Macaca mulatta: one gene and its partners. The protein of the gene in region 1 purifies or fractionates together with the protein of each later gene. This does not show direct contact. Links are inferred from orthologs where the notes say so. Each region holds a gene or a part of one and is shown in the gene's direction. Other genes may lie near its edges.

The links.
Region 2: the proteins of PLEKHM1 (region 1) and VPS33A purify together in Homo sapiens (affinity purification with western blotting; 3 studies listed by BioGRID and IntAct, with this or other methods). This does not show direct contact. The link is inferred for Macaca mulatta from reciprocal best matches to the Homo sapiens genes PLEKHM1 and VPS33A.
Region 3: the proteins of PLEKHM1 (region 1) and VPS39 purify together in Homo sapiens (co-immunoprecipitation; 3 studies listed by BioGRID and IntAct, with this or other methods). This does not show direct contact. The link is inferred for Macaca mulatta from reciprocal best matches to the Homo sapiens genes PLEKHM1 and VPS39.
Region 4: the proteins of PLEKHM1 (region 1) and RAB7A purify together in Homo sapiens (affinity purification with western blotting; 5 studies listed by BioGRID and IntAct, with this or other methods). This does not show direct contact. The link is inferred for Macaca mulatta from reciprocal best matches to the Homo sapiens genes PLEKHM1 and RAB7A.
Region 5: the proteins of PLEKHM1 (region 1) and VPS41 purify together in Homo sapiens (affinity purification with western blotting; 4 studies listed by BioGRID and IntAct, with this or other methods). This does not show direct contact. The link is inferred for Macaca mulatta from reciprocal best matches to the Homo sapiens genes PLEKHM1 and VPS41.

What each region holds. Positions count from the first base shown.
Region 1 is NC_133421.1:69,810,559-69,815,733, reverse strand, and holds part of PLEKHM1 (pleckstrin homology domain-containing family M member 1), read left to right. Parts: intron 1-1,712; coding exon 1,713-1,776; intron 1,777-2,297; coding exon 2,298-2,455; intron 2,456-3,648; coding exon 3,649-3,760; 3' UTR 3,761-5,175. UniProt on the Homo sapiens protein: Acts as a multivalent adapter protein that regulates Rab7-dependent and HOPS complex-dependent fusion events in the endolysosomal system and couples autophagic and the endocytic trafficking pathways.
Region 2 is NC_133416.1:129,608,991-129,615,710, reverse strand, and holds the end of VPS33A (vacuolar protein sorting-associated protein 33A), read left to right. Parts: intron 1-616; coding exon 617-754; intron 755-3,894; coding exon 3,895-4,063; intron 4,064-4,437; coding exon 4,438-4,619; 3' UTR 4,620-4,904; downstream 4,905-6,720.
Region 3 is NC_133412.1:19,584,951-19,591,446, reverse strand, and holds the start of VPS39 (vam6/Vps39-like protein), read left to right. Parts: upstream 1-2,000; 5' UTR 2,001-2,154; coding exon 2,155-2,227; intron 2,228-6,496. UniProt on the Homo sapiens protein: Regulator of TGF-beta/activin signaling, inhibiting SMAD3- and activating SMAD2-dependent transcription.
Region 4 is NC_133407.1:155,146,029-155,151,964, reverse strand, and holds part of RAB7A (ras-related protein Rab-7a), read left to right. Parts: intron 1-615; coding exon 616-834; intron 835-1,803; coding exon 1,804-1,932; intron 1,933-5,936.
Region 5 is NC_133408.1:89,464,826-89,471,513, forward strand, and holds the start of VPS41 (vacuolar protein sorting-associated protein 41 homolog), read left to right. Parts: upstream 1-2,745; 5' UTR 2,746-2,762; coding exon 2,763-2,783; intron 2,784-6,688. UniProt on the Homo sapiens protein: Plays a role in vesicle-mediated protein trafficking to lysosomal compartments including the endocytic membrane transport and autophagic pathways. Acts as a component of the HOPS endosomal tethering complex.

The sequences.
Region 1 (5,175 bases):
CCTTCCCCATCACTTCATCGGTTCCAGGAGCTAAGATTTGACCTCTCCCCTCATTTTCCTGTCTCCTAGAGAGCCCTCCAGATTCCTGTGGTCTGTTTCCCAGCCTCACACCAGAGGACAAAGAGGGTTCTCCTCATTGTGTGGGTGAAGAAACTGAGGCCCCAAGTAGGCCTGGCTGTGCCCCAGTGCACGAGAATTTCTTTCCTGGAGGCCAGGAGGGGAAGTGGCCTCTCACCCCTGGGCCAGCACCCTCTCCCCTCTGGCCTTGACTGAGCACTGCGGAGAAGCCAGTTGCAAGTCCTTGCTGAGAGGGTGACGGGCCCAGGGCACAGGGGCTCCTAGAGCTTCCACGACTGTGGTCAGAGGACGGATGGCAAAGCTAATTCTCCATCCAGATCAGCCCACACTCCTGCTAGCTCAGGGCCAACCTGTGTCCCCCCAGCCTGCTGTGTCCCATGTTTTCTTGGTGACAAATGGCAGCTTCCCTTCCTAGAGTGCAGGAAGTTTACTGGGGATACCAGCTTGGTAAACTGAGGGGCCAGTTGGCATCTTGGCCTATATGGCTGCTTGGTGGGACTTACTGTCTCCACCCCGGTTTGGGCTCCCCTGGACCACAGCTGAGGCCACCAGCTGGGACAAGGCCAAGCCCCCATTCCAGATGCTCCACAGCTTGCACCCGGGAGGCCCAGACCCAGGGCTGGCACCACCCTGTCCCCAGATGTCTGGGGCATCCTGGGGCAGGTTCCCAAGCATCCTCTGACTTGGAGTAACCTCCCACCGCCAGTACCCACCCAAACACACACAGCCAGGCCAGGCAGGTTTTGTACCAGGGAACTTTCTGCAGGTGTTTCCTCTCCATCTCTCAGGATGGGGCCCCCTGGATCCCTCCCGTTGGTGTAGTGGAAACTAGAGCTGCATTGGCGGCTGAGCCTTTGTTCTCTGCTGCCCCGGCCACCTCTGAAATGGGATCTGCTGTACTTAGGACACGTCTCAGTTGCTCTCGTGTAGCACGGAAACCAGACACTTTAATGTCTGTCCCTCAGCCAAACCAGGGGCCAAACAGGAGGGCAGAGGCCATATCCTGTGCATTACTGTCCCCAGCACTGTCCCTGGTATGTAATGGTGGCAATAAGGACAACAACCTTCATCTCTAGGCATTTGCCAGGTAGACAGGGGTGCAGGCTCTGGAGCCAGGCCCCTATGTTCAAACTCCAGCTCTCCCGCCTACTAGCTGTGTGACCTCAGGCAAGTGATTTAACCTATTTCCTCTTCTCAGTTGGGATTGTGATAGTACCAGCCTCACAGGATTATTGTGAGAATCAAATGAATGAATGCGTATGAAGCTCTTAGCCCAGTTCCGGGTCCCAGGTGTCAGCACCCATCCTCCTCCTTATGATTAATTACGTGTTTACTGTGAGCTCGGCACCAAGTCAAATGCTTTAAATAAGTTACTTAATCCAGACAACTCCATTTCCCAGAGAGGGAAACCCAAGGTTCAGAGAGGTTGAGTAACTTGCCCAAGGTCCCACCAGCTAGTTACCTTGAAGACCAGGCCCCAAGCCCAGGCAGGCCGAATTACGCTCCTAGCCCCTGCCCCGCCCAGGCGGCAGGTGTCTGCCTGGTGAGCAGTGCCAGGGGAATGAAAACAAACAACACAGGTTGGCCCGGGTCTTGGAAACCTCTCTAAAGAATCGCTTGTGTTTTGTTTGAAGGCTCAACCACAGGGATTATCTCCTGGAGTCTCCGCATAGGTTCAGTGTTGCTGACCTCCAGCAGGTGAGTGTCATGCTTCCCCCGCCCAGACCTCCAGAGAGGCCTCTTTCCCGGAGAAGTCAGCAGGGAAGATGGGAGGGGGGGTGTCTGTAGTTTACTGAAGACAGCAGTCTGCAGCTTTTCTGCAGCTCAGGGTGGGTTGCCCTGCTGCCCTGGCTTCCTGGGCGGGGACGGATACCCACAGCACCCTGGAATAAGCAAGCACTCCAGCAACCCCAGGATCACAGGAAGAGAGTTTGGAATACTCCTTTCTCCAGGGGGCGGGTACAGTGGAGTCGGGTCTCATTTGTGAGTCCCATTAGCCCTGAGTGACCTCAGTGCCCACGGGCTGGACGCTGGCACTGCTCAGCCTGACTCAGCGAGGTTTTCTTTTCTTGCCCACGTGGAAACTGGGGGTAGAAGTTCTCCAGGCAGGGTGCCATGGCGCCTCAGTGCAGGTGCTTGAAAAGCCTGGGGCCTCAGTTTACCAGCCCCCCACAGATCGCAGACAGGGTGTATGAAGGATTCCTACTTGCCCTCCGCAGATTGCAGACGGGGTGTATGAAGGATTCCTCAAGGCCCTGATCGAATTCGCCTCCCAGCACGTCTACCACTGCGACCTGTGCACCCAGCGCGGCTTCATCTGCCAGATCTGCCGGCACCACGACATCATCTTCCCCTTTGAGTTTGACACCACAGTCAGGTATGTGGGACACCCAGCCAGCTGTCTCCCAGCCCCACCCTTCCCCACACCCACAGCCTGGCCCAAGCACTCAGGGCAGCAGGCCTCGTTCTATGGGCAGGAGCGTATTGAACATCGGCTTTGTGCCGTGCCAAGGGATGGTGCAGTTGTTTGGGACGGCCCATGCTCTGGGCAGTCATGGCCAGCTCCGGTCCAGCTCAGGAGACAAGACAAGCTTTCCCAGGACTCCTCTGCCTCTACAGAACCATCTGTCTTCCTAGAGGTGGCTGCCGGCTCTCTGAGTGGAGCCTGCTGGAGCCACAGTGTATGCATGGGTTGAGGAGGATTGTATGAGTTACTGCCCTGTACTGTTGGCATGAGACCAGGCACAAAGTGGGCACCTGGTGGGTGGTACCTGCCACTGCCACTGCCTCTGTTGCTGAAATGATCACTCTTGTTCCAGTTATTGCTCATTATCAGCAACCTCTCAATGGAAAAATTTGTCCAGACTTCCTGCAACCCATGTGGGAGTGGAAAACTGAACTGGGAACATTAGTTCTTTTTCTGTCGGTGTCCACTGGCCGGGATTCAGCCCTGAATGGGCCTGGGGCTGAGTTTTTTAAATTATACCATCTTGGCCGGGCGTGGTGGCTCACGCCTGTAATCCGAGCACTTTGGGAGGCTGAGGCAGGTGAATCCCTTGAGGTCAGGAGTTCGAGACCAGCCTGGCCAACATGATGAAACCTCGTCTCCACTAAAAACACAAAAATAAGCCAGGTGTGGTGGTGGGCACCTGTAATCCCAGCTACTTGGGAGGCTGAGGCAGGGGAATCACTTGAATCTGGGGGGCAGAGGTTGCAGTGAGCCAATTTCATGCCACTACACTCCAGCCTGGGCAACAGAGCAAGACTCTGAAAAATAAATAAAATAAGTAAATGTTTTTTAAATACAGGCAAGAAATCTTTAATGACTCTCAAGCAGCATTTATAAAAAAATGTAGTAGGACAGACAATATCAGTGTGCATTGTGTGACATATGGGTAAGCACTGTTTTGAGAATCTCCTGTTCCAGAATGGAGAGGTACAGTGTGCGTGCATGGGTTACACAGTACGTCACAGCCGTATCATGGGTTCTGGTCAAAAGCGCTGGCCAGCGTGGCCACAGGGCAACCTCCAGCCCAGCCAGCACCAGCAGGTGTGCTGCTCTCTCCCCAGGTGTGCCGAGTGCAAGACCGTCTTCCACCAGAGCTGCCAGGCTGTGGTGAAGAAGGGCTGCCCCCGCTGTGCCCGCCGGCGCAAATACCAGGAACAGAATGTTTTCGCCTGATGCCCATCTGCTGACCCCGCTCTGAAGGCCGGGGGTGAGTGTGGCTCAGCCATCCCAGCTGGGTTTGCCATCAGCCCAGGATACTCACCGTGTCACAGCTGTGTCCCCTTGTCAGGAAGACCCTCAGATGTGACCAGAGCACCGGCCTTCCAGAGAAAGCCCAGGAAGCCCCTGTGATGTCCCCTGGCCCCCTCACCACCCCTCTGCTGCAGGAGGCGTGGCCACCACCAGATGCTCCCTGTCTCCGGGCAGACAGGGCCTTTCACTCACCAGGCCCTGGCTCACCAGCGTCCCGGCACCCCTCTTAGGGCTGCCCAAACACTGTGGAAAGGAGGCTTGGGGAGCATTTTCAATTCCACATTCCTGATTAAAAGGTCTAGTTTTTTAAGGTGGGTTTTTCCCATTCATATTTCAACAGAAAGTATTTTTTTATTCTTGATCCTACGCGAGTCACCCAAGAAATCAAGACATTCTCACCCCCAGTGGGTGCACAGGAGCCACTCAGGCCTGGCCTAGAGGCAGCGGGTGGCTGGCGGGCAGGCCACTGCTGGGACAGGGCCTGTGGGCCCACCCAGTGCCTTTCCTTGGCCCTCACTGCCAGTGCCAAACCGCCCCTCAGCAGGGCAGGGCCAGTCCTGGTGACCCCGCTTCCTCTCCGTCTCTTTACTCCTCACCCCAGTGCGTCTCGCCTGCTGAGCACACCGCTTGTGCGTCAGAGCCCCTAGCTCTTCTCTAGCCGGGGGCCTTGGCCCCATTAGGAGAAGGAGAAATGACTGGAAACCAGCACTGTCAGCACTTTGAGCCCTCCTCGGTTTAGGGAGGGTCACCGTCTTGCCCACCCCCTATCCCCGTGCCCTCCTCACCCCTCTACAGATAGGGGCGCTGCTGCAGATGCTCCAGGCCCACCTTGGTGGGTGCCTGGGGTCACACTCTGCCTGACTAACCCCTGCCAGGGCACAGATAGGCAGGACCCCAGAGAGGGCAGGCAGCCATGCCCTGCACTGTGGAGAAGTGACCTGGTCCTTTGCCCTAAGCTGTGCGGGGCGTGCCGGGGAGCTGCCCTGTGGATGCAGCTGCCGCCTCACAAAGCCATGAATTCCCACAGCATCGCTGAACTTGCCCAGCCAGGACACTGGAGACTGAAGAACTTCCCTGGAGCAGGACTGCCTTTGAAGGGGCCTTGAGGCTGGGGTGGGAGCCTGGAATTGTTTTCAAAGCGATGTTCAGACCCTCCAGGCTTTGGGGAAATGTGGGTTTGCTGGTCTCTCTGTCGCCATCCTCCACCTCTCCTGGACCCAGCAGGCCCTCAGTCCTAGCTGTCTTACCTGCGCTCAGCTTGGAGTCTGAGGCCTCAGGTGGAGATCCGCATGTCACTGTCAGAGATGAGCCCACCTCCACCCTTCCCTGGGGGCGAT
Region 2 (6,720 bases), on another chromosome or scaffold:
GCCTCCTGAGTAGCTGGGATTACAGGTACCTGCTACCAGGCCCAGCTAATTTTTATATTTTTAGTAGAGACAGGGTTTCGCCATGTTGGCCAGGCTGGTCTCAAATTCCTGACCCCAAGTGATCCACCCACCTTGGCCTCCCAAACTACTGGGATTATAGGTGTGAGCCACTATGCCCAGACCTTGGCTATTTTTTAAAAATAGAAATAATATCCTACATTGCATATTATTGTTTTTTAATATATTCTGGAGACCTTTCTTATCAGGATGTGTAGATATGCCTTATTCTTTTTTGGAGCTAATTATATACCATATAAAAATATACTATCATTTATTTGATGCTCACTTAGATTGGGTCCATACATTCTGACTTTAAAGTAAAAAAGTTTAAATTTCTCTTTGAAACAGTGAGCTGAATTTATAGTAACAGGCAAGCAGTTTTAGGACACGTTTCATCCCTCCACCCTGTCCTCTGTGCCCACCCACTAACATTGCTGGACTTTGGTAACATGTCCTACGGTACAAACCAAATTGATTTGTTGGAAGTGCCCTTCTTTGAAAATTGCAGAAATCCTTTTCCTGATCTTATATCAAGGCCAAATGACTTCCCTTGCAGACATATGGCTATGAGCACATATTGACCTTACACAACCTGGAGAAGGCTGGCCTACTGAAACCGCAGACGGGGGGCAGAAACAATTACCCAACTATACGGAAAACATTACGCCTCTGGATGGATGATGTTAACGAGCAAGTAAGCCACACTTCTCCACCTCGTCTCAGCTTAGGGACTGGTTAGATCGTCCACATGACAACACATGCTTCTGAACCTACACATCTGCCTTGCTTTCTAAAAACAATTTTCTAATGTTTTTGAAAAAGTAATGCATCATGTATTGTATCCATCAGAACCCTAGAAGGAAACAGAGAATGCTCTTAAATTGGGGAGTTTCTGGAGAGTTTAATAAAGATGTGGGCCAGGCGCGGTGGCTCACACCTATAATTCCAGCACTTTGGGAGGCCAAAGCGGGCAGATCACTTGAGCTCAGGAGTTTGAGAACAGCCTGACCAACATGGGAAACCCCATCTCTACTAAAAATACAAAAATTAGCCCGGCATTGTGGTGCACACCTGTAATCGCAGCTACTTGGGGGGCTGAGGCAGGAGAATCGCTTGAACCCAGGAGGCGGAGATTGTAGTGAGCTCAGATCGCACCATTGCACTCCAGCCTGGGCGACAGAGCGAGACTCTCTCTCCAAAAACAAAAAGATATGGGGCAGGCTCAGTGGCTCATGCCTGTAATCCCAGTGTATTGGGAGGCTGAAGTGTCAGATCGCTCGAGTCCAGGAGTTCGAGACCAGCCTGGGCAACGTGGCAAAACCCTATCTCTGCAAAAAAAAAAAAAAAAGGCCAATGGTGGTATGAGCCTTTAGTCGGAGAGGCCGTGATTAGAGGATCACTGAGCCCAGGAGGCAGTTGCAGTGAACCATGTTTGCGCCACTGCACTCCAGCCTTAGCTAGGGAGTAAGACTCTGTCTTAAATAAATAAAGATGTGGGAAGAGCAGAGACCAGTAAGAGGCAGTGTGGTAGGGAGCCCTTGCCAGATGCGGCCTGAAGAGCAAGGAGAGGGGGGTATTCTAGAAACTTATCTTAGAACCTGGAGAGAAGAGCTGTGGTGGGGCCATCTGTTGAGGTAAGGGGTGAGGGGCCTCTGGCTGAGGGTACGGTCAACCTCCAGCAGAGGAAGCCAGCCAGTGACAACCTCGTCCTCACACTGCTGCCCACTCTCCAGTTCACTCTGGTGCTTTGCACTGGTCAGACCCAAAGAGAAGGCATTGGAGTGTGTTGGTGTGGGACCTACAGGTCCATCTCTGGGCATAGGGCATTGCGGAGAAGGGTGGAGAGTGTCTAGAGGAACCAGTGGAGACGTCCAGCTCTCATAAACAAGCCAGCCATGGATGGGCGCGGTGGCTCACACCTGTAATCCCAGCACTTTGGGAGGCCAAGGCAGGAGGATCACTTGAGGTCAGGAGTTCAAGACCAGCCTGGCCAACATGATGAAACCGTGTCTCTACCAAAAAATACAAAAGTGATCAGGGCATGGTGGAGCATGCACCTATAGTCCCAGCTACTGTACTCAGGAGGCTGAGGTGGCAGGATCCCTTAAGCCTGAGAGGTTGAGGCTACAGTGAGCTGAGATTGCACTGCTGCACTCCAGCATGGGCAACAGAATGAGACTCTATCTCAAAAAAAAAAAAAAAAAAGAAAAAGAAAAAAAGCTATGCAAAAGCAGGGCCATCAGGGCCAAGTGAGTTTCCTTCCACCGTTTCCCCTCAGAGGCAGTCACGGTGGCCAGTTTTTTATCTATCCTTCCAGAAAGATTCTGTGCATATACATTTTTTTTTTTTTTTTTGAGACGGAGTCTCGCTATGTCGCCCAGGGTGGAGTGCAGTGGCCGGATCTCAGCTCACTGCAAGCTCCGCCTCCCGGGTTTTTACGCCATTCTCCTGCCTCAGCCTCCCGAGTAGCCGGGACTACAGGCGCCCACCACCTCGCCCGGCTAGTTTTTTGTATTTTTTAGTAGAGACGGGGTTTCACCGTGTTAGCCAGGATGGTCTCGAACTCCTGACCTCGTGATCCGCCCGTCTCGGCCTCCCAAAGTGCTGGGATTACAGGCTTGAGCCACCGCGCCCGGCCGCATATACATTTTTACATAAAGAGTGCATATTCTCTACTGTTGGTCTCCAAAGTGGGGTGCACTTTGCTATACATTTTTTATTCTAATGTTTCTAAATTTCAGTCTTTTTTGTTTTTTCATAAGGGACTTTATTAGGCTGCCTCTTGCAACAAAAGCTCGTAACTAGACAGTCTCCTCTGTCAGGAGCAAAATTGGATGGTTTTTTCCCAGTGGGAAAATAGAGGCCCTTAATGTCTAGAGTCTGTCATGTACGTATTAGTTCAGCTGCCTTCACTGTTCTGACCTTTCTGACTCCTGACCCACCTACCACTTAACAAAGGATCTTGAAGGGTCTTTTGTGATCTTCCCCTTCTTTTTAATTTTTCTAAATTGCTACGTAGTGGTTTTGAGGCTATACCTTATTTAATGATTTAACAGATTGCTACTGATAGAAATTCAGGTTGTTTCCAGTCTTTGCTATTACATGCAGTGTTGCAGTTAATATGTTTATACTTTGGTCTATTATCTTTTGTTCTGCAAGCATCTCTGTAGGATTAATGCCTAAAAGTAGGATTGCTGAGTTCAAAGGTTACTGCACATCATTGCTCAGCTGGGGAGTGCCAAGTTCCCCCCACTACATTTCATGCTGGCCGGACGCAGTGGCTCAGGCCCGTAATCCCAACACTTTGGGAGGCCGAGGCAGGTGGATCACCTGAGGTCGGGAGTTCAAGACCAGCCTGGCCAACATGGTGAAACCCTATTTCTACTAAAAATACAAAAATGAGCCAGGAGTGGTGGTGCACACCTGTAATCCCAACTCCTTGGGAGCCTGAGGCAGGAGAATTGCTTGAACTTGGGAGGCGGAGGTTGCAGTGAGCCGAGATTACACCACTGCACTCCAGCCTGGGCAACAGAGCCAGACTCTGTCTCAAAAAAAAAAAAAAAAAAAAGAAGTTTCATGCCAAACCAAGTAATTTTTCATCTTCTGTACCTAGAGCTGCTTTGAGTGGCTTTTCAAGATTTGAGTCAAAAGTGAAGCTCTGGCTGCTAAAATTGAGCTCTGCTGGGGTGGATTAGAACAGGGCATGGCAGGGGTGGGGGTTGTTTATCTATCTTTAAATCCAAATCAAATAATTTTGGATTACCCAAAAGGCCACAGTCAGGTTGCTCTAAGTCTCTGTATCTACAGGATTTTTGTTCTTTAATTATCTCACAGAACCCCACGGACATATCCTACGTGTACAGTGGGTATGCCCCGCTCAGTGTGCGGCTGGCCCAGCTGCTTTCCCGACCTGGCTGGCGGAGCATCGAGGAGGTCCTCCGCATCCTCCCAGGGCCCCACTTTGAGGAGCGACAGCCACTGCCCACAGGACTGCAGAAGAAACGTAAGTCCCAGTCCAGCATCTACAGATAATTATGTCCTGTTAGTGTGGTTTTCAGGTATTGTACAGTTGCTTTGTAAAATACTTAGTAAAGCACTTAGGAGTCAGAATTAAATATACCTCTTTTGTTCGTTGCTAATGTATATAGTAAGCACTAGAGTCGGATTATTCCCTGAGGGGTAGCAGCTTTCAACTTCTATGTTGAGAATCTCAGGAGTTAGAAAAAACATTGAGATCAAAATCAGTATTCCTGGGTTTCAGATGAACTGTCTGGATGAAGACACTTGTTTATTCTTGTGAATGATAAAATGTTTGAAGAGGTGGGAAGAGGAGCACCAGTAATAAATAGTTTTTAATCTGAAATGTTTAAATTTTAGGTCAACCAGGAGAAAACCGAGTGACTCTGATATTTTTCCTCGGGGGCGTAACCTTTGCTGAAATTGCTGCCCTGCGATTTCTCTCCCAGTTGGAAGATGGAGGTACAGAATATGTCATTGCCACCACTAAACTAATGAACGGAACCAGTTGGATAGAGGCTCTGATGGAAAAACCTTTCTAGGGTATTCAGAGGAGACTTAACGAGTGTACTGCAGAATAAACTGCCTCTTTGAAGAAGTTGCTGAAAGGAAGTTAAACCCCATAGAAGAAACATGGAATGCAGAATATATTCTGGGGTCAGCTTCTTAAATTATGCTACCGTTTACTGCTTTCTCCTTCTCTTTTGTATTCCATTTTTTTTTTGCTTTGAGACGGAGTCTCGCTGTGTCACCCAGACTAGAGTGCAGTGGCGCGGTCTCACCTCACTGCAACCTCGGCCTCCTGGGTTCAAGAGATTCTCCTGCCTCAGCCTCCTGAGTAGCTGGGACTACAGGCATGCACTACCACACCACCACACCTGGCTAATTTTTGTATTTTTAGTAGAGATGGTGTTTCACCATGTTGGCCTGGCTGGTCTCAAACTCCTGACCTCAGGTGATCCACCCACCTCAGCCTCCTACAGTGCTGGCATTACAGGCCTGAGCCACCATGCCCAGCCTCTAATCTGCTGAATAAAGAAGAATAGAAGAGAATCAACCTGAGTCAAAGAAGCACTGGTTTTGAGTTTTCTAAGCTCAGGGTCTTCATTAGAGGCCTCTGGAAACACATTAAGGATGGTGGGGGTAGATAATCCATTCTGCCAGACAAAGGAGGCCGGCTGTTAAAATAAGAAAGCTGAGACTGAGGAGGTGAAACTGAAAATAAAAAGAGAAAGTCCATCCCCTAATCCCCAGTGCTGTATTTCTTCAGGGTGCATCAGGCCTAGGACAGTGGTTAAGTGTTGGGAGCTAGAGATCATTTTATCACTGAGTTGAGATTTCTTTTTCCTGCAGAGTATGGGAGATTATATTTAGGGTCATCAGTCGCTGTCGCAACTGATCACTAAGGCAAGTTTGCTTCCTTCTACTTCTTACAAAGCAAGAGGTTTAGAGGAGCTTCCTGCCCAGAAACAAAGTTTATGCTCTATGCGATCAGCTACATTTCTGTAGGTTCCATACTTATCAGGGGCTTTTGACATGGAAGAATGTGATAATTGAGGAGCAGCCTTCTGGAATTCAGCCTTTGAAAGAGGTCAAAGACAGTTTCTTAGCCCACATGGTAACTCCAGACACAGCAGTGGTGGATGCCTCCATTGAGGTTTCCATTTTCTCTCCTGTCCATCAAGGGCCCAACATCCAACTGGTCCCACGATGAGGAGGGGCAACTCGTGCTTCTTCAGCATCTGGCCACTTTGTTTCCATGGTAACTGCCACATGTACTTTTCTAGCAGTCTGTGGCCACTCCTTTCTCAGCTGAAAACACTGTTTCAGCCCCCTCTCTGGTGGCCTCAGCCTTCTCCAGGTGTATCTCTTGATCTTGGAGCCCAGCAGTCACAGCTGCTGCTACTCCTGCGGGAGACTGTCAGGCTGTGGTGGAGGGCAGGAGGTGGGAGGAGCAGTTGGAAATCCGTGTGTTCTCTGCCTCTCTGCTGCTCCATCTCAGCTTCTGGAGGAGTTAAGGCACCAACGGCACCAAGTCAGATAGGCAGCTTTGCTGCCCTTGCCCAAGCCGCTAGCAGAATTAGTTGGTCCGCTGCTTTTCTGGGTCCCAGCGAGGTGTGGTTTTGGTTGTTGATTAGTAACTACACATTGTTTTTCCCCACCTTTTTCATTAGTGGAGTTTTTTTTGTTTTTGTTTGTTTGTTTGTGACAGAGTCTCACGCTCATGCCCAGGCTGGAGTGCAGTGGTGCGACGTCGGCTCACTGCATCCTCCACTTCCTGGGTTCAGACGATTCTCATGCCTCAGCCTCCTGAGTAGTTGGGATTACAGATGTGCACCACCACACCTGGCTAATTTTTGTATTTTTAGTAGAGACGGGGTTTCACCATGTTGTCCAGGCTGGTCTTGAACTCCTGACCTCAGGTGATGGGCCAACCTCGGCCTCCCAAAGTGCTGGTATTACAGGCGTGAGCCACTGTGCCCAGCCCATTAGTGGAGTTCTGATGGGCACGGTAAATACTAGTAATGAAAGAGAAATTCTGTATACTTTTAAAAATCTCTTTAATAAAAGAATGCGGCGGCTCAAGCCTGTAATCCCAGCACTTTGGGAGGCCGAAGCGGGTGGATCACGAGGTCAGGAGAT
Region 3 (6,496 bases), on another chromosome or scaffold:
TTTCCTGGGAAGTATCTCTGAGGAACTGCAGTCTGAAGAACTGACTATATTCTCATGCTAATTCATTAGCCAAAGGCTGGTGGTATTGTTGCATGCTGCTATTGCATATTAAAACTTAGCAGATGAATAATAGTTGTAATGCAGCAAGATAGTTGGTCAAATTATTTTTTTAGGCTGGTTTGATGTTGACTTGAGACTAGGAAAAAAAAACCCAAAAATCCCTTGTGTTAAGCAGGAGTGTATAGTACAAATTCTATAGCTTGGGCCTTGGTAATTCTGCTTACAGCTCTCTGTATTACTGGGAGTGGATATAGTGTGTCATTTCTTAGGACAGGTTCAGAAGAAATTTATAGCTTTACACTAATCTGTAAAACAATATAAACCTTAGGGTTTTGGGCCTGAACGAAAAGGTACTAGACCTTCCAGCACAACAGCTGGTAATTCTAAATTTTTAAGAAGGTGATCAGCTTCTATGGTGAAAATCAACTGTAACACAGGATTTGTTTAGCAATTTTTGTGTTTATGACTACTTGAAAGTGTACTTTCACTTGATTATCAGAACAGCATTTGTTAAGATGGGACAAGTATTCCTAGTTTACATATGAAGAAATTGATACTGTGTAAAAATAAAATGACCAGGACCAGTTTTTTTGGCTTCATATCATAGACTTAGTCTTTTTCTTTTACATTTTTGCTTTAAACCCAAATGCTTAATTTTTTGACCTATCTGATGTTTTCCTAGGGGGAAATTACCAGATATAGATCATTCTTGCAGCTCAAACTAAGTTTTGTTGTTTTTTAAGTCTTCAAGGGGAATACTAAGGTAACCTCAGACAGTACAGGTCCCGGGTCCTGTAGGAGGAAGAGCCATGACACCTTCCTAAAAGGAATATTAGGATGTAAGACACAACTTGGGAAAGTTGAATTGGTAGGAATATGATCATCAAATTAAAAGGAGGCTTATTTCACTCACTTTCAAGAGTTAGTGAATCATCTGTTGCCTAAACTCTTGCTACTCAAAATGTGATCCAGGGACGAGCAACATCTGGGAGATTTTTGATGCTCAATTGAGGGTCTTACTCTGGTCCTACTGAATCAAAAGAGGCATTTTAACACTGTCTCTAGGTGATTTGTATGCACATTAAATTTGAAAAGCATTGGCCTCAAATGGTTCTCAGGGTGATTTTGCCTTCCAGAGGATATACAGCAAAGAGACATTTTTATACCTCTGTAGGGAAGATACTGGCATCTGGTGGGTGGAGGTTAAGGATACTGTTAAACACCTTACATTGCACAGAACATGCCCCCTCCCCAACAAGAAATTATCCTGTCCTAAAGGTGGGTAGTGCTACCACTGAACAACCCTAGCCTAAGATGGTGGTTCTCAAGCTTTTAAATGCATGGACTCACCTTGGGGTTTATTAAAACATAGATTACTGTTCCTTCCAGAGTTTCAGATTCAGTAGAACTGGAATGGGCCTGAAACTTTGCATTTCTAACAAGTTCACAGGTGCTGCTGCTACTGCTGTTGTTGCTGGTCTAGAACAACCATGAAAGCATAAAGGTAAGGTGCTTGTACTAATTGGGATATAATGGTAATACTAAAGCTACCATTTATTGAGAGCTTAGTGTGTGTCAGGTGTTGCTAAGCGCTCACGATACTGGATCACAGGTATTTACACAAATCATTTTGCAGATCAGGAAAGTATGGCATCGAAATATTAAATTTTCTAAATCACAGCGAATTTCCTAATTGGTAGATCTCCGTCTGAGGTCTGACGCCAAAGGCCGAGTTTTTAACCATCACACCCATTGCCTAAAACAGTTCTAAGATTAACAGTTTGTTCCTTCTATGGTAAGCCCATGGCTACTCGGGACAGAGTGGCTCTGGGTAAAGAGTGACAATGGCAACTCAGCAACAAGTCAATTCCTTGAGAGTGCACCGGGAGGAAGGGGCGGGACTTCGGCTGCGGAAGGGGCGGGCCTAATCAGCAGGAAGTCCGGGGTTGACGATGGCTGTGTTGTTGAAGGGCCTGTAGCTGGGGGGCATCCTGGCCGGATCCCGGCCTACTCTTAGCCCAGCCTCGTTCCGGACCCCAACCCGGCCCGGAACACTGTGGGCGAGACGGCGGTGGCGACTCTCCCCTTGCCGCCATGCACGACGCTTTCGAGCCAGTGCCGATCCTAGAAAAGCTGCCTCTTCAAATCGACTGTCTCGCTGCCTGGGGTGAGCCGAGGGGCTGCGGGGCCGAGGCGGAGTCAGCACGGGAGCGGCCCGGATCTTTTCTGAGGCCGGGGAAGTGGACAGGCGTTCATCCGTGTGGGCTTCGGTTGGATGCTACCCGAGAGGGGCTTGGGATGAGAGAAAGCAGAGAGATGACCACCGGCTGTAGACATCGATGTCTATGGGGCTGCTTGGGTGATCCCAGTGATCCAGTCATTTAGGGGAGTTCCCCTTGCTCTTGCTCCCTGTGCAGAGTGAGAGGATGAGCTTTCCTTTTTAATTGTGCTCAGCTTTAGCCCGTTTTGATTCCCAAGAAGTCTTCATTTTAGAGGGCCAAAGCAGTAAGAAGTTCTTAGCCTGCCAGGGGCTTGAAGTTGTCCAGATGTTTGTGTTGTTTTCTAGATGAAAGTCAACCCTGGTTTTGGGGGCATAGAACAAGTTAACACCATATGCTATTTTTTCCCTATAGTGATCACTCGTTCACTTCTCATTCCTGTAGGGAACTCATGTAGTTAGCTAACCTTTGAGTCTAGCCAAGTGGTTGATTACCTTATATCCCAAGTGTCCAAGTTACCTAACTCTGTAGGCGGAAGAGTTTCCAGACTGTCATGAAACCTAATCCATAAAAACTAGCATAGTCCTTTTGGGATTGACTAGTGCAGAAGGCAGGGACAGACATCTCTTGTGTGCTCTGAAATACAAATGAAGGTTTCAGGGATAACGGTGAACATTGTGCTCTTATCTATGAGTGACTGGTTTGATACCAGCCCCCAAAGACCAAGGAGATCATTTCTAACTTTCCTCCTAATGTTTAGGTCCTAGAAATCAAGGACCATAAAAAGATGATTCAGATCCCTTAATCAGATCTTATACTGGGCTACATAGGTAACCATGATGGGCCTCATGGAATCTTGATGTGTCTGATATTATATGCATCAGCTGTTCACAGTGTCACCGAGTCATCCTTGCAGAGTTCTTCATGACTTCTTCTGTAGGGTCCTTTCACGAAGAATTTTCATGTTAATGTGCACCCTTCCTCCTTTAGCAGCTCTGGGTCTCTTTAAAATCACACCTCCACAGTAAGCAGTTCTAGTCCTTTGGGTTAAGAGGAGAATCCTATTTCCTCCAGACATCTCAAGAAAACCAATTTCTGTCATTAAATGCTCTCATTAAACATTTAAATAGAGGAGGAGAAAGTTTTTAAATGAAAGACGTGACGCTGCATGAAGGGATTAATTCCCCCATTGCTTCATCAGATATACGTATTAGGTGCCTACATGGGCCATTCTCTTTGCTAGGGACAGTAATACAATGATGAATAAGAAACGGTGCCTGTGCTCCTAGGACACACATTGGGGGGACAAAGACATGTGAACAGATTATGATACTAGAGACATATGCTGCCTATTATTGCAACATGGATGAGGGGGTACCCAACTCAGCTAAGGACATGTTTCTGAAAGGGATTAAGGATTAATGCAGCTGTTGCCACACTTGACTTAGCCCGTCAGAATCCTTGACTCCGATCTCCTGTTGGACCATTAGCACATAGTGCTCCTAGACTCTCAGTAACTCCACTTTGTCACAGTAAAAATTCCTTGCACCTGTGGTTTTCAGGAACACAGTTTTGAAATGATAGGTAGCTTTTGGCCTTCCTTGATCACCCACCAAACAGGAGAAATGCTCTTTGCTTCCTAAGGCGCTTTGGTACACATTAGGTTACAAGAGGCCATTAACTGCCTCCTGCTTCAAAAGTGCTTTATTTCCAGATTTGAGCAGCAGTAATTATTGCTGTTTCTAGTCATTACCCCTTTTTAACTACATTGTGTCTTTGGATGCAAAGTTCGTCCAGGAATTTCCAGAGGCAGGTCACACAGGGCCAAATAATATTTAAGGTGTAAATGTCTTAGAGACAACATACTCTGTCTCCTAGGAAATAGAAATCAGGGGGGCTGGGCGTGGTGGCGCATGCCTGTAATCCCAGCACTTTGGGAGGCCAAGGCAGGCGGATCACGAGGTCAGGAGATCGAGACCATCCTGGCTAACATGGTGAAACCCTGTCTCTACTAAAAATACAAAAAATTAGCTGGGCGTGGTGGCAGACGCCTGTAGTCCCAGCTACTTGGGAGGCTGAGGCAGGAGAATGGCGTGAACCCAGGAGGCGGAGCTTGCAGTGAGCTGAGATCACACCACTGCACTCCAGCCTGGGCAACAGAGCGAGACTCCGTCTCAAAAAAAAAAAGGGAAATCAGGGGAACATGATGAGGGTGATTTCTTTCTAAACTCCAAATATGTATAATCCTGCTGCCTTTTCAGCATCTTCATTTGGATGTCTCATAGCATAACCAAAACAGTTCTTGATTCCTCTCCCCTCAAACATGCCTGTCCTCCTGTATCTTACATCTCAGCAAGTGGCATTTCTATTTACCTCTTTGACTAAGGCCAAAAGCTTTGGAATCGTTCCTGACTTCTTTCATTCTCTTTTACACTATATCCCATCTATCAGCAAATCTTGTGTGTTCTACCCCTAGAATAAATCTGAAATCCAGTCATTTCTGTCTTGATAATTACTACTCTTGAAGGCACCATCATCTGTCACCTGAATTACTGTAGTAGTCTTCTCATTGACCACCCTGTATTTGCCATTGTGCCATTTTCAGTTTTTTATCTACCAGGTAGAGTGAAACTTTGAAAACCTAAATCTGATTCCATCCTCGGCTCAAAACCCTCCCATGGTATTACATCACAACTAGAATAAGTTCCAAAGTCTTTACCCTGTCTGGCAACATCTGACATGCGGAGGCCCTGGTAACTTCCCTGTTTCCTGTGCACTTACCTCTCACGCCTTTCTGGTACCAGTCCCACACAGCCTTCCTTGTTCCATCAGTGCACAAAGCACATACCCACCTCAGGGCCTTTACACTTGCTGCTTCCTCGGCCTGCCACTCACTTACCTTTGTATATATGGTTCATTCCTCATTTCACTCAGTTCTCTGCTGAAATGTCACCCAAATCAGCGGAACCTTCCCTACGTATCCTATATGAAAGAGATTGCCACATCCACCACTGTGCTGTTTTCTTAGCCTTATCTTCTAATCATGGGTCACCATCTACTGTTGTTTTATGTATTTAATTATTATCGCATCTCTCACTCCACATTAGAATATAAGTTCCCTCAGGGCAGGAGCTTTGTTTTCTACATTGCTGTATCCGGAGTACCTAAAACGTTTCCTGACTCATGTTGATATGAATAGTAATAGCTTGCAGTTGTTAAATGCTAATCTGTATTAGGCTTTTATAAAATAAGACTCCATTTTACAGAAGAAGGACCTGAGGCTTAGATAATTTAAGAAATTTTTCCAAGGTCACATGTCCTGTAAATCATGTCTGCTTCTAGAGCCTGGTTCCCAAACTTGAATGTATATTCAAAGCCTGTAAAAAAAAATGCAGACTTCATGTGTATATATGAGTATCTGTATGTCCATATATATGTACATACCTATATTTTCCAGAGAAACAATGGAAAGATAACTCAAAAATTACTAAAATGATGCTCATAGCAGAAGGGAGAGGAGAGGATAAGATGGACAATGATAGAAATTAGACTTTTCATCGTTTTAGCTTTGGAACTACAAAAATGTTTCATAAAAACAAATAATAAAATTTTATTTTATTTTATTTTATTGTTATTATTTTTTGAGACCGAGTCTCGCTATGTCGCCCAGGCTGGAGTCCAGCAGTACAATCTCAGCTCACTGCAACCTCCGCCTCCCAGGCGTGTACCTGTACAAGCCATTGTTGTGCCTCAGCCTCCTGAGTAGCTGGGATTACAGGCGCCTACCACCATGCCTGGCTATTTTTTGTACTTTTAGTAGAGACGGGGTTTCGCCATGTTGGCCAAGCTGGTCTCAAACTCCTGACCTCAGGTGATCCACCCACCTCGGCCTCCCAAAGAGCTGGGATTACAGGCGTGAGCCGCTGTGCCCAGCCAACAAAATTAAATTTTAAAAAGTAGGTTTCAGAGTACCACCTCAAAGCCATTGAATCTGAATCTCCATGTGCAGGGCCCAGGAATGTGCATTTTTAATAAGTCCAGGTGATTCTAATGCAGCTGACTGGGGGCTTATGCCCAGTTGAGAAGTACTGTTATTTGCCATGTTACCCAACGAAGGGAAGTGACTACTATCTTATTCATCTTTGTGTTCCCTGCAGTGGCCAGCATTAGGCCAGAAATGGAATTTATTACATGAAGCTGGACTGCATTGCACTGTT
Region 4 (5,936 bases), on another chromosome or scaffold:
GATCTCGGCTCACCACAACCTTCGCCTCCTGGGTTCGAGAGATTCTCCTGCCTCAGCCTCCCAAGTAGCTGGGATTACAGGCATGCACCACCACGCCTGACTAATTTTGTATTTTTAGTTGAGACAGGGTTTCTCCATGTTGGTCAGGCTGGTCTCAAACTCCTGACCTCAGGTTAGCCACTGTGCCTGGCTAGGCAAACTTTTCATACAGTAAAATGCATAAATGGAACTGTATCATTTGTGAGTCATCACCTCACTTCCCTGTATTTCCATTGCTCTCAGAAAGTTCCCAGAGTACCTAAGTTTTATTTACAGTTCAAATTTTACACACTTACCTAAATGTGACCACTACTTGGATCAAGATATAAGAAATTTCTAGCGCCCTGGAGATTGGACTCGTGTCACCTGCTTATAGACAGACACATACTTACATACAATATTTGTGAGGATTGTTTCGGATACTCTGGTGCTGAAATTTGCTTCCTGAAGTCTGGTGTCATTTGTCTTTGTGGGTGACCTCACAATCTAGCCCATTTCTTCTGGCATCCCCTGCATACATGCTCCTTGTGCTCTGCCTAGCACTCTCCCGAGGAATAAATGTTTTGTCTCTCACAGATATGGGACACAGCAGGACAGGAACGGTTCCAGTCTCTTGGTGTGGCCTTCTACAGAGGTGCAGACTGCTGTGTTCTGGTATTTGATGTGACTGCCCCCAACACATTCAAAACCCTAGATAGCTGGAGAGATGAGTTTCTCATCCAGGCCAGTCCCCGAGATCCTGAAAACTTCCCCTTTGTTGTGTTGGGAAACAAGATTGACCTCGAAAACAGACAAGTAAGTACCAACGATGATAGATATTGTCACAGACACTTGCTCCCAAGGGGCCTTGTGAATTTGGAGGGTTCTCTGCTAAGCTCACATGGCTCTAGGAGGTGCTGGTGGGAGTCTTCATCACCCTATGCCAGCCCTTCAGGCCAACTGCCTTTAAGGACTGGGACCCAGGTGACCTGGGTTAAGTCCCCATCCTGCTCCCAGCTGGCTGTGACTTTACGCCATTGTCTTGGCTATCTCAACTTCAGTTCCCTTTCTGCACTTTGAAGGAGGGAATTCAGTTTTGTCATTCTCAGTAGTGCCCTCCCAGTACCTCCAGGCCGTGCTTGGATCTCCATGTGTGCAGAATATTGCTTTGGGCTTTGAGTGAAATTGCTGTACTATAGTTATAGTTTCAAATATCATTTCTGTTGGAAACATAGACTCTTTGATTAATTACGACTACGTTTATTTCTGACCATGGATCTTTTTTCCTCCCCTTCCTAAGTGACTTAGTCCTTATCTCTTGGCTGAAAATGGGCTAGGGGTTGGGGAAGGAATGAGAATGTGAGAGTGGCATGGGTGACATCACACTAGCAGTAATGGTAAAGGGACTCTAAACCTTAAGACCAAGCTGCTGGGCATTTCCTGTCCTGGGATCTCTGAGGTCCCAGTAAACACTCTTCATTTCTTCCCAGACTGGCTTCTTACTCCATTCACAAATGGCTTTTAAGTATAACTGAGGGTCAGAAGGTATGAGCTGTAGACTGAGACAGGCTTTGAGCTCTCTAGCTGAATCCTAGCTATCCTGAGCATAGCCAGCAGGGCGAGTTTGGACGGGTCTACTGGTCTCTTCCAACACCCTCTTTCCCCACATCTGTGTCCTCACCTGTACCACCTGTAGACGAGGGACCATGACACTTCCTGGGGAGGATGGAGTCAGTGCTAGCTGCTTCTATCATGAGCCTGTGTGCACCCTACTTCTCCTTTCAGGTGGCCACAAAGCGGGCACAGGCCTGGTGCTACAGCAAAAACAACATTCCCTACTTTGAGACCAGTGCCAAGGAGGCCATCAACGTGGAGCAGGCGTTCCAGACGATTGCACGGAATGCACTTAAGCAGGTGGGTCTCCCACAGCTGACCTGCCCACTCTTGTGATGCCTGACCACTGACCCAGTCCCTGCCTGACCTCCTGCCCTTAATCTTCTTCCCTAACCCACTCTTTTCTATGTAGTCAGAATACCCTAAGTGTTCATCTGGGAAGGTTAGGACATGCTCTGCTTAAGCTTCCAGAAACCCCACTTTGGGGAAATAACCTAAAAGATGTAGAGGCTGGGAAGACTGAGACTGCCCTTCTTTTACTAGGCTTGTTCTTATTTTCTTGGCTGCGATTAGGAGATCAGGTCACTGGGAGACCCCTGATCAGATTGCTGCTCTATTTAAGAAGGAACTTAACTTGAATACAAATCCCAGCTCTGCTGCCTACCAATCATTATATCTAGTTTGGGCTTAAAAATATATATATTATGGCCAGGCATGGTGGCTCACGTCTATAATCCTAGCAGTTTGGGAGGCCAAGGCGGGCCGATCACTTGAGGTCAGGAGTTTGAGACCAGCCTGGCCAACATGGTGAAACCCCATCTCCACTAAAAAATAAAAAGAAAATTAGCCAGGCCTGGTGGGGGTTGCCAGTAATCCCAGCTACTCAGGAGGCTGAGGCAGGAGAATTGCTTGAACCCAGGCGGCAGAGGTTGCAGTGAGCCAAGATTGCACCACTGTACTCCAGCCTGGGTGACAGAGTGAGACTCTTTCTCAAAAAAAAAAATTAAAAATAAAATTATATCCGAACTTCTACCCCCTCACCTGAAAAATGGGAATACCTGCTTTTGCAGGGTGATTATGAAGATTAAATGAGACCAACTTTTTCAGCTCTCACATACTGACAGGTAACTTTTTTCCTTAGGAACAGTTAAGTAAACAAGGAAGAAAATGTAGGAAAACTATTCAAGGAATACAATACCTAGAATTTCTTACTTACTGTTTCTGTGATTAGATACAACCACTCATGCGAGTTGAAAGTCTTTTTTTTTTGTTTTGTTTTGTTTTGTTTTGTTTTGTTTTGTTTTGTTTGAGACGGAGTCTTGCTCTGTCACCCAGGCTGGAGTGCAGTGGCCGGATCTCAGCTCACTGCAAGCTCCTCCTCTCGGGTTCACGCCATTCTCCTGCCTCAGCCTCCCGAGTAGCTGGGACTACAGGCACCCGCCACTTCGCCCGGCTAGTTTTTTGTATTTTTTAGTAGAGACGGGGTTTCACCGTATTAGCCAGGATGGTCTCGATCTCCTGACCTCATGATCCGCCCGTCTCGGCCTCCCAAAGTGCTGGGATTACAGGCTTGAGCCACCGTGCCCGGCCGAAAGTCTGTTTTGATGTACAACTCTGTTAGGGGCAGTGGTGATTAAGGCAGATCACGAGGCCTCATCAGACAGGGTCTGGGGGTGGTCAGAGGTGTGACAGGTTTGGGGGGATGCATAGAGCACTTGAAGCACATAGTGGCTGTGAAGGGCAAGGCAGATTCTGCTGACTCCAGGAAGCCGGCAGAATGAAGGTAATGGCTTTCAGCAGGACAGAGAGTTGTTTGGAATGGTTGCTCCAAGGACCAGGGAAATTCTGGCATGAGTGGGGTCTGCACTAAGTGTTCCAGAATGAAAGGGACAGACCTACTCAGTGAGGAAATTGTTCCACCCAGAATGCCAGGAGAGCCCTCAAGTGGTAAGGAAAAGACCAAGATGCAGACTTGGCCACCCTCACCCACAAATAATAAACGGTTGTGTTTTTCTTAATGTTCATATAAGGGAATGGAAATCCAAATCGTGTAGGATAGTGTTTCCCACCTGTTTCCCTGTTGCCTGGCATCACCGTCTGAGTTTTTCTCTTCCATCACTACTGTCCCTGTTGTCTTTATGCTTTTATTTTTAGAGCTAGCCCCTAAGGAGTTAGATTGTTACATTGGAGGGTCTGTTTTATTATAAGTTAGGGTGCCAGGTTGCTTTCCCCAAGGGGAATAACATTTCAGCAGCGTGGGCTTGCTTTGTTCTACCTCCTTGCCAGCAAGCAATAGGTGTCACTTGTCACTCTGCTGACATTGCCAATCTTTGGGTGTATAAATTGCCACCATCGTGGCTACTGTTCCCTCTGAGTCCCTCTTCCTGGGGCTTAGCCATTTGGATTTTCTCTGCTGCACACAGCTAGCACATAGCACATGGTTGGGCCTCTCTCAGTTCTCATGAGCTGCTAGTCAATTGAAGTTAATTCTACTTGCATCTCAAGTGACTTTTTCAACTCTGTGGTATTTTTAAGTCCTTTGAACATAGGAAAAAAGTAATTTTTTATTTGGGTATGTCATTTTAAGTTTCTGTGTTTCCTGTGTCTACATCAGATTTTTCTCTAATTCAGCTGGAATTTGTTTTGGCTTATGGCAGGAAAGAGAGACTTGCCTTTTCTCTCAGAGAGCTCAGCCAGTTGTTTGAAATCATTCGGCTATGTTACATAAGCCGTTTCCCTCCCTGAATAGACCGTGGCCTGTGCTAAATGCTCATATGTGCTGGGATCTGTTTCTGGTCTCTCCAGTCTGTACTGGTGATGTCTATGCCATGTTCCCTTATCTGGACTGTCTTGATTTCACTGCCTGATAAGGCAAGTTTCCTCTTGCCACATTCTTTTTTTTTTTTTTTTTTTGAGGTAGAGTCTTGCTCTGTTGCCCAGGCTGGAATGCAATGGCGTGATCTCAGCTCACTGCAACCTCCGCCTCCCGGGTTCAAGTGAATCTCCTGCCTCAGCCTCCCAAGTAGCTGGGATTACAGACATCTGCCACAACGCTTGGCTAATTTTGGTATTTTTTAGTAGAGATAGGGTTTCACCATATTGGCCAGGCTGGTCTCAAACTCATGTTGTGATCCGCCCACCTCAGCCTCCCAAAGTGCTGGGATTACAGGCATGAGCCACCCTGCCCTGCCTGCCACATTATTTTTTAATAATTTTGTTTCAGTTCCATGATTTTCCTCTCTTACCTTCCACACCCCAAATAAAACTCTGTTGAGATTTTGATTGGAATTTTTTTCTTCAAGCCCACTGTTTTTTCCCCATTGATTGCAGTTTTGTTGCAACTGTTGCATTAGTCTGCTCAGGCTGCGTTAACAAAACCCCACAACATGGGTGGGTCCAACAACAGACATTTTGTTTTCTCACAGTTCTGAAGGCTGGAAGTCCATGAGCAAGATGCTGGCACATTTTGTTTCTGGTGAGGGCGCTCTTCTGGGCTCACAGACTGCTGTCTTCTCACTGTGTCCTCCCATGCCCTTTCTGCTGTGTGCACAGAGAGAGGACATATGAGTAAGGTGTCTGTGGTGTCACCTCTTCTTGAAAGGACACGAATTCTCTCAGATCAGGACCCCACCCTGCAACCTCATTTAACCTTCATTCCTTCCTTACTCCAAATACAGCCACCTGAAGGGTTAGGGCTTCAACACAGGAATTTTGGAGGAACACAAACATTCTGCCCGGCCGGGTGCGGTGGCTCACACCTGTAATCCCAGCACTTTGGGAGGCCGAGGCAGGTGGATCACCTGAGGTCAGGAGTTCGAGACCAACCTGGCCAACATTGTGAAACCCCATCTCTACTAAAAATACAAAAAATTAGCTGGGCGTGGTGGTGGGCACCTGTAATCCCAGCTACGTAGGATGCTGAGGCAGGAGAATTGCTTGAACCTGGGAGGCGGAGGTTGCAGTGAGCTGAGATTGCACCATTGCACTCCAGCCTGGGCAACAAGAGCAAAACTCCATCTCAAAAAAACAAAACATTCCACCCATGAATCTATTTTAGGTCTTGTTTCTGTTCCTTCAGTAAGATTGATTGATTTTTTTTTTTTTTTTTTTTTTTAAAGAGACAGGGTCTTGCTCTGTCAGGCTGATACGCAGTGGTGCAATCATCATTCACTGTAGCCTCCAACTTCTGGGGTCCAGTGATCTTTCCACCATAGCCTCTTAAGTAGGTAGGACTACAGACACACCCAAGCTATAATTGATTTATAATAGGATCCTTTGCCTTTCACAGTAAACATATTCCTAGG
Region 5 (6,688 bases), on another chromosome or scaffold:
GTAGCTGGGACTACAGGAGTGCGCCACCATGACCGGCTGATTTTTGTATTTTTAGTAGAGAGGGGGTTTCACTATGTTGACCAGGATGGTCTCAATCTCTTGACCTCAGGGGATCCACCTGCCTTGGCCTCCCAGAGTGCTGGGATTACAGGCGTGAGTCACTGCGCCCAGCCCTTTACCTCCATATCTTGAAGCTGGGAGAGGGTGGATTGATTATGTGCAAGAAAAAAAGCAGGTGATTTGACACAGATTCAGTGACAGGCTGAGTACTCCTCAAACTTTAAAGTATATGCATATGACTGAGGGATATTATTAAAATCTAGATTGTGGTTAAACAAGTCTCTCAAAGGGCCCCAAATTCTTCATTTTTAACAAGCTCCTAGGTAGTCTTTGGACTACACTTAGAGTAGTTGGAGAGTACAAGACCACCTAGATAAGAGAGTCTCAAATTCTCACTTCACATGAGAAAATGGGGTTTGGAGTTCACATGTGAATTTCATCCTGTCCACTGGCCCATCATGAACCTGCTAGTTCACAGTAGGTTTCTTCCTCTAATCCAGCTTTCCATACCTGTGTCTCTTCCCTTTTCCAGTCTCTCCAAAAGGAAAGAGGCTGATAATATTTTATTGTAATCAACAGAGTATACTGAATGCGGAACAAGCTTGGGGAATTGAGAGTTTCTATGGTTAAATGAGCAGAGAAAAATCTGTAAACTTTGGCTATATCTTTAATAAGACCCATAACACCCTTTTTGAGAAAGAGAAAGAGAATAAACATTCTCATTCCGGAAAAGTAGAAAGGCCAGGAAGGCCCAGAGTGAATGGCCTTCAGCTTTGCTTGCTTGGGCGGCTTGACTTCTCACTGAAATAAAATGGAACCATAAAACAAAAATGCCCTTGTGGGTAAGACAGTGGCAATAATCCTCTGTTTTCCTTCTTCATCCCAATCTCATCTGTTCACCATAGAAGAGGAGATTGCCAAGTTGGAGAGGCTGTAGTCCTGTCACTCATAATGGGAAAGAGAAAATTGGAGTTTGTGAGGAAAATCAGAAAAGTAGAAGATCTCATTTTATCTCTCTTTCCCATGGATACTGGACTGAGAGCTTCCACAGTCTCTTTGGTCTGTATTAAAGTCTTTCTGGGATCTGAAGTTCACCATGAGCAATGTTTGACCCTGGACTGCTTTGTAAGATATTTCAGAAACTCTTGGGTTAGGTTTATACTTTCCCTAGGTTTATACTTAGGACATTGGGTGATTGCTTATGGATTTCTTTTTTCTTTTTCTTTTTTTTTCAGATAGGGTCTCACTTCATTGCCCAGGCTGGAGTGGCACCATCAAGGCTCACTGCAGCCTTAACCCCCACCTCAGTCTCCTGAGTAGCCGGGACTACAGGCACACACCATTATGCCCGACTAACTTTTGGTATTTTTTGCAGAGACAGGGTTTTGCCATGTTGTCCAGGTTGGTCTCAAACTCTTGAGTTCATGAAATCTGACTGCCTTGACCTCCCAAAGTGCTGGGATTACAGGTGAAAGCCACTACACCTGGCTGCTTATAGACATTTAAATGCCCCAGGGTGGTCTATCCTGTTGGCTGAGTGATTAGCCCACTGGAAGAGGAACCCCAGCAAGGCTTGGAGGAAGAAGATGGAGGTAAGGCTGTTTAGGCCCTGGGGAGAAGATAGGTGTCTCAGAGATGATGTCACCTTGGCTTCTGGGCAACTGAGGAATCATGGGTTGAGCAAGCTACAGACAGAGTACTGAGTCCATGACTTCCTACTGGGTCAGACTCAATGAGGCACAGGGAGTCAAAAATGTACTGAGGCAACCACCACATGCTGCCATTTGCGATGCCCTCTACTGGTCACTAGCTACTCCAGTGAATGGAAATTTTTAAATGTCTGTCTTTGGATAAGGTGCTGCAGATTCCTGAGGATTAAGAAGAAGAATTCATAATGTTCAGAAACATGGAGAGAGGATCACTCATTCTGAAGGCTGGAATACAGTGGTTGTGCAGATTTGGACCAAAGACAACTTCATATTGTGTCTCCACTTGAACATTTACCTATTGAATATCCTCAACAAAAGTTTAACATTTAATTTATTAAACAATAGAGATTCTTTTTTAAAATCAATGTTCATATGACAGGAGAAGACAACTTAAAGTAGCAAGCAAAAATAATAATATTATTTGTTGGTGTATAAATTTTCTCTGGCTCTCCACTGCAAAGTCTGCTTTATATTCACTGAATGTACTTAAAAAAGAGAGAGAGAGAAAAAAGGATAAGAACACTTTTAGAGTAAGCAGCATTTGGCAATCACAGAGACTTTGGCATCAGACAGGGCTGAATTGTTACTAGTTCTGCTTCTTAATAGCTGCATGACCTCTGAGCTACGGTATTCTCCCCTATAAATGGTGATGATGGTAGGAATTGCTGTGAGGATTAAATGAGATAATTTATGCAAAGCTATAAACCCAGGGCGTGATATAGTTAAGTCCTTAATAAACACTAGAATAACTACAGAAACAAGAACAACAATAAAATAAGCTATAGTATTAGCAATGGTTATGTTCAGATTCTTCAAAGCAGAACTCCATTGAGTTTGGAGAATTGGCAGCAGAAATGAGCCCCAAGAGGTCCGTCCCCTAGAAGAGATTTCCAGGCTCAGATGAAGCTAAAACTACATTTCCCAGAAGGCCCCGGGCCCAGGGTCTGGTTTCCTCTCATTTCCGGGTGTGTCATGTGATTCTCCGGTCGCGCCATGGCGGAAGCAGAGGAGCAGGTAAAGGGTGCAGTTGGTAGTTGAGGGCACAGGGATATGGAGACTAGGGTGGGCTGTTTGGGGAGGGTGGAGTGGAGTGGGTGGAGGTGCGGAGCTGCTGGAAGAGGGCAACGCAGGCCCGCGGCAGGGCGGGATGGGACGGTGAAAGTTGCTTTCGGAGAGCAGAGAGGATGCCAGCCCCGGGAGGGCACCTGGGGAAAGCGCACCGACACACCCCCGCCTTCGGGAGGCGGCCTTTCCTCGGGCCCCATCCCTGTGCCCTTTGCCCAGTGAAATTTTGGCATGAAGGCAGGCCAGGCTACCCCAGGGACTGACTGCCTGTGGGAGGCGGAAGAGAGGCCAGGTGACTGAAATTTACGTTGCTTTCCACTTGAAGTAGGACAGTAAGAACTAGGAGAGAGTAGACGATGAGTTTTGTTTTGTATCGGATTTAGGTACAGAACTGGAGCACTGTTGCGATGCAGCAGGGATTAAGTGCATCGGTTCTGGAGCAAAAATGCCTGGGGTCCAAGTGCTGGTTCCTTTTCTTACTCAATGTGTTACTTTGAGCTACTGATTTAACTTTCTAGTGTAAGATGGGGATAATAATAGGACCGTCCTCAGAGTGTGGTTTAAGATGGAGAGCGTTTATACACAAAGTTAGAGTGCTTACAACTATTGGGCTCAGTAAAAGTTAAATGGGATTATTTGTGGCTGGCAGTATCCAGTCAACAACTGGCAATGTGGCACTGGAGTTTAGCGTAGAAATTAGTGATGGGAATACGGATTATTTTCATATAGCGGTAGTGGTAATCCCACGTTTTATGAAAAGACGAAGTAAAATAAAAAAGACAAAAAAGTGAAGCAGACCAAAAGAGAGGCTAGAACTTGGGGGAGATAACCTGAGTTTCCTTTTCCAGTGTTATTTCAGTTGGATACTGTTTTTCCTCACAAGTTAACAGGGCTGTTAGCAGTGATTGTCTCTAAACAGTGACTTGATGGGCTGTTTAGTGTCGTAAGACATTTACCTAGTTCAATAATTTTTACTATTTTCAACATACTTCATTTGTTTTTACTTCATAGTGAAAATTTGCTCTGTATATGTTTTACATATGCCAATAATTGAGACATTTCACTAGGATGAAATTTGGTTTGGCTGGTCCTTGTGATAACAAGATAACAAAATCTCTTATCTAACACTAGAACCTCACATTTCCATTCTGGCAATTAAAAGGAAAACGCTCCATAAGAACGTATCATTTCATGACTGCCATTGCTTGTTTGAATAAGGGCGAGATTGTTTTTCACATTGTGCATCTATTTCATGTTGAAATGTTTGTTTCATGGTTTGATTTAAAAGCAAAAAACTGAGTTTCATATGTTCTTAGATATAGTATAATAAAAATGGAGAGAGTTGCTCTTAGAAAAACCAGTGTTTTTTCTTCCCTTGAAAAAAACCTGTGAAATATTTACCACTGTTTAGTGCCGAAGAAGAATTTGACAAAGTTGTTGGATGTAAAAATGACGCATACAAAGTTAGGGATATAATAATGTTTCACATTTGTACATTATTTTCTAGTTTTAAGACCCTTCCATATTGCATTTGGTCTTCTAAAAGAATTCTGTGAGGTAAATGTTTATTCTTTTTTTTTTTTTTTTTTTTTGAGACGGAGTCTCGCTCTGTCGCCCAGGCTGGAGTGCAGTGGCGCTATCTCGGCTCACTGCAAGCTCCGCCTCCCGGGTTTACGCCATTCTCCTGCCTCAGCCTCCCGAGTAGCTGGGACTACAGGCGCCCGCCACCTTGCCCGGCTAATTTTTTTGTATTTTTAGTAGAGACGGGGTTTCATTGTGTTAGCCAGGATGGTCTCGATCTCCTGACCTCGTGATCCGCCCGTCTCGGCCTCCCAAAGTGCTGGGATTACAGGCTTGAGCCACCGCGCCCGGCCGTAAATGTTTATTCTTATACATGGGTGAAACACCTTTGATGTTCCAGACTTTCTAGTGGCTTCTAATCTTATTCAGAGGAAAAGCCACAGCCATTACAGTAGCCTGGTTGCCCCACAGGACCTTGACCCAGCTGCCTCTAGCCACCTTTTCTTGACCTCGTTTTTCCAACTACCCTTCTGTGATTCTGCATCGACTGTACTGGCTTTCTTATTCTTCAAAAAGCCAGGCAGGTCCTACCTCAGGGACTTTGCTCATGCTGTTTCTTTTTGAGGAACGCTGACGTTTACAGGCTTAATTCCTCATTTCCTTCGTGTCTTTGTCCAAGTGTTCTTTTCCATTGCGACCTTCCCTCACCATGCTTTGAAACATTCCTGCATTATTTTTCTCTATAATGTGCATCACCGTTTGACATACTGTATTTTAAAATTTGTTGTTTTTTTTCCCCCTGTATATTGCTGTGTACCTCTCACCACAGAGCTTGGAACATCATGACAAGGATTTATTCACTGTTGTATGTCCAATACCTAGAATATTGCTTGGTACTTAATAAAATGTGTTAAATGATTGACTTTTACTGATAAGCAAATTGAAATTCAGGCAACTTGAGTAACGTGCTCAGGCTTATATCTATAATATAAATCTCCAGTCCTCTGTCTCCAAAGCTCATGACTTTTCATTAGAATATCCTACCTTTTAAAAATATATGTAGGAACCTCAATCTAAATTGTTATTTTTTAGTTTGTAAAGTAGCATTAGCCCTTTTCATTTTAATGATTTTCCCTCAAGCCATCATTCCACCTTTGATACTTTAACAGCCTAATATATAGTTGGAATGGGCATTCTCCTCTCCAATGGTGTGAATATCTTTCTTAAAAAGACCAGTGGTGGGCCAGGCACAATGGCCCATCCCTGTAATCCCAGCGCTCTGGGAGGCCGAAGTGGGGCGATTGTTTGAGCCCAGGAGTTCAAGACAAGCCTGGGCAACATAGCAAAATCTTGTCTCTGCAAAAATTACAAAAATTAGCGAGGCATGGTGGTGTGTGCCTGTAGTCCCAGCTACTTGGGAGGCTGAGGTGGGAGGATTGCTTGAGTCAAGGAAGTTGAGGTAGCAGTGAGCCATGATTGTGTCACTGCACTCCAGCCTGGACAACAGAGCAAGACCCTGTTTCAAAACAAAACAAAACAAAAAATCCCCCCCAGCAGTCTATTGTAAATGGCCGAAAGAAACAAACATTTACAAATTGTTAAGTTCTTTTTTTTTAAAGAAAGCTAGTAATTTTACCTAATCTTATCTTTTATAGATTAAAAATGGTTAAGCTTTTCTCTGTTTTTTGTTTTTTGTTTTTTGTTTTTTTTTTGCATTTGACAGTAGGAAGCCATTGAAATCTGATGGCGGTAGTAGGGCTTTATTATATCATTTTTTAAAAAGCTAAAAGTGTATAAAAATGGAGAAAATTGGGCTGGGCTGGGTGCGGTGCGGTGGCTCAGGCCTGTAATCCCAGCGCTTTGGGAAGCCAAGGTGGGTGGATCACCTGAGGTCAGGAGTTCGAGACCAGACTGGCCAACATGGTGAAACCCTGTTGCTACTAAAAATACAAAAAAATTAGCCAGGCAGTGGTGGTGGGCGCCTATAATCACAGCTACTCGGCAGGCTGAGGCAGGAGAATCACTTAGAGAACCCAGTAGGCAGAGGTTGCAGTGAGCCGAGATTGTGCCATTGCACTTCATTCAGCCTGGGTGACAAGAGGGAGACTCCATCTCAAAAAGAAAAAAAAAAAAAAAAAGGAGAAAATAAACTGTTCTATTGAACTTTTTAGAAAACTTGACATAATTTTTTTTCTTGGTATCATGTATCATGAATGCCAGTGATCTCCAGAATTAGCAACACAAAACTAAACGTCTCCACATTATCTTTCCTGAGTGGTGGTGTTTCTCTCATGATTGCTCCCCTCCCCCTTCATTTTCAGAAGAACCAAAAT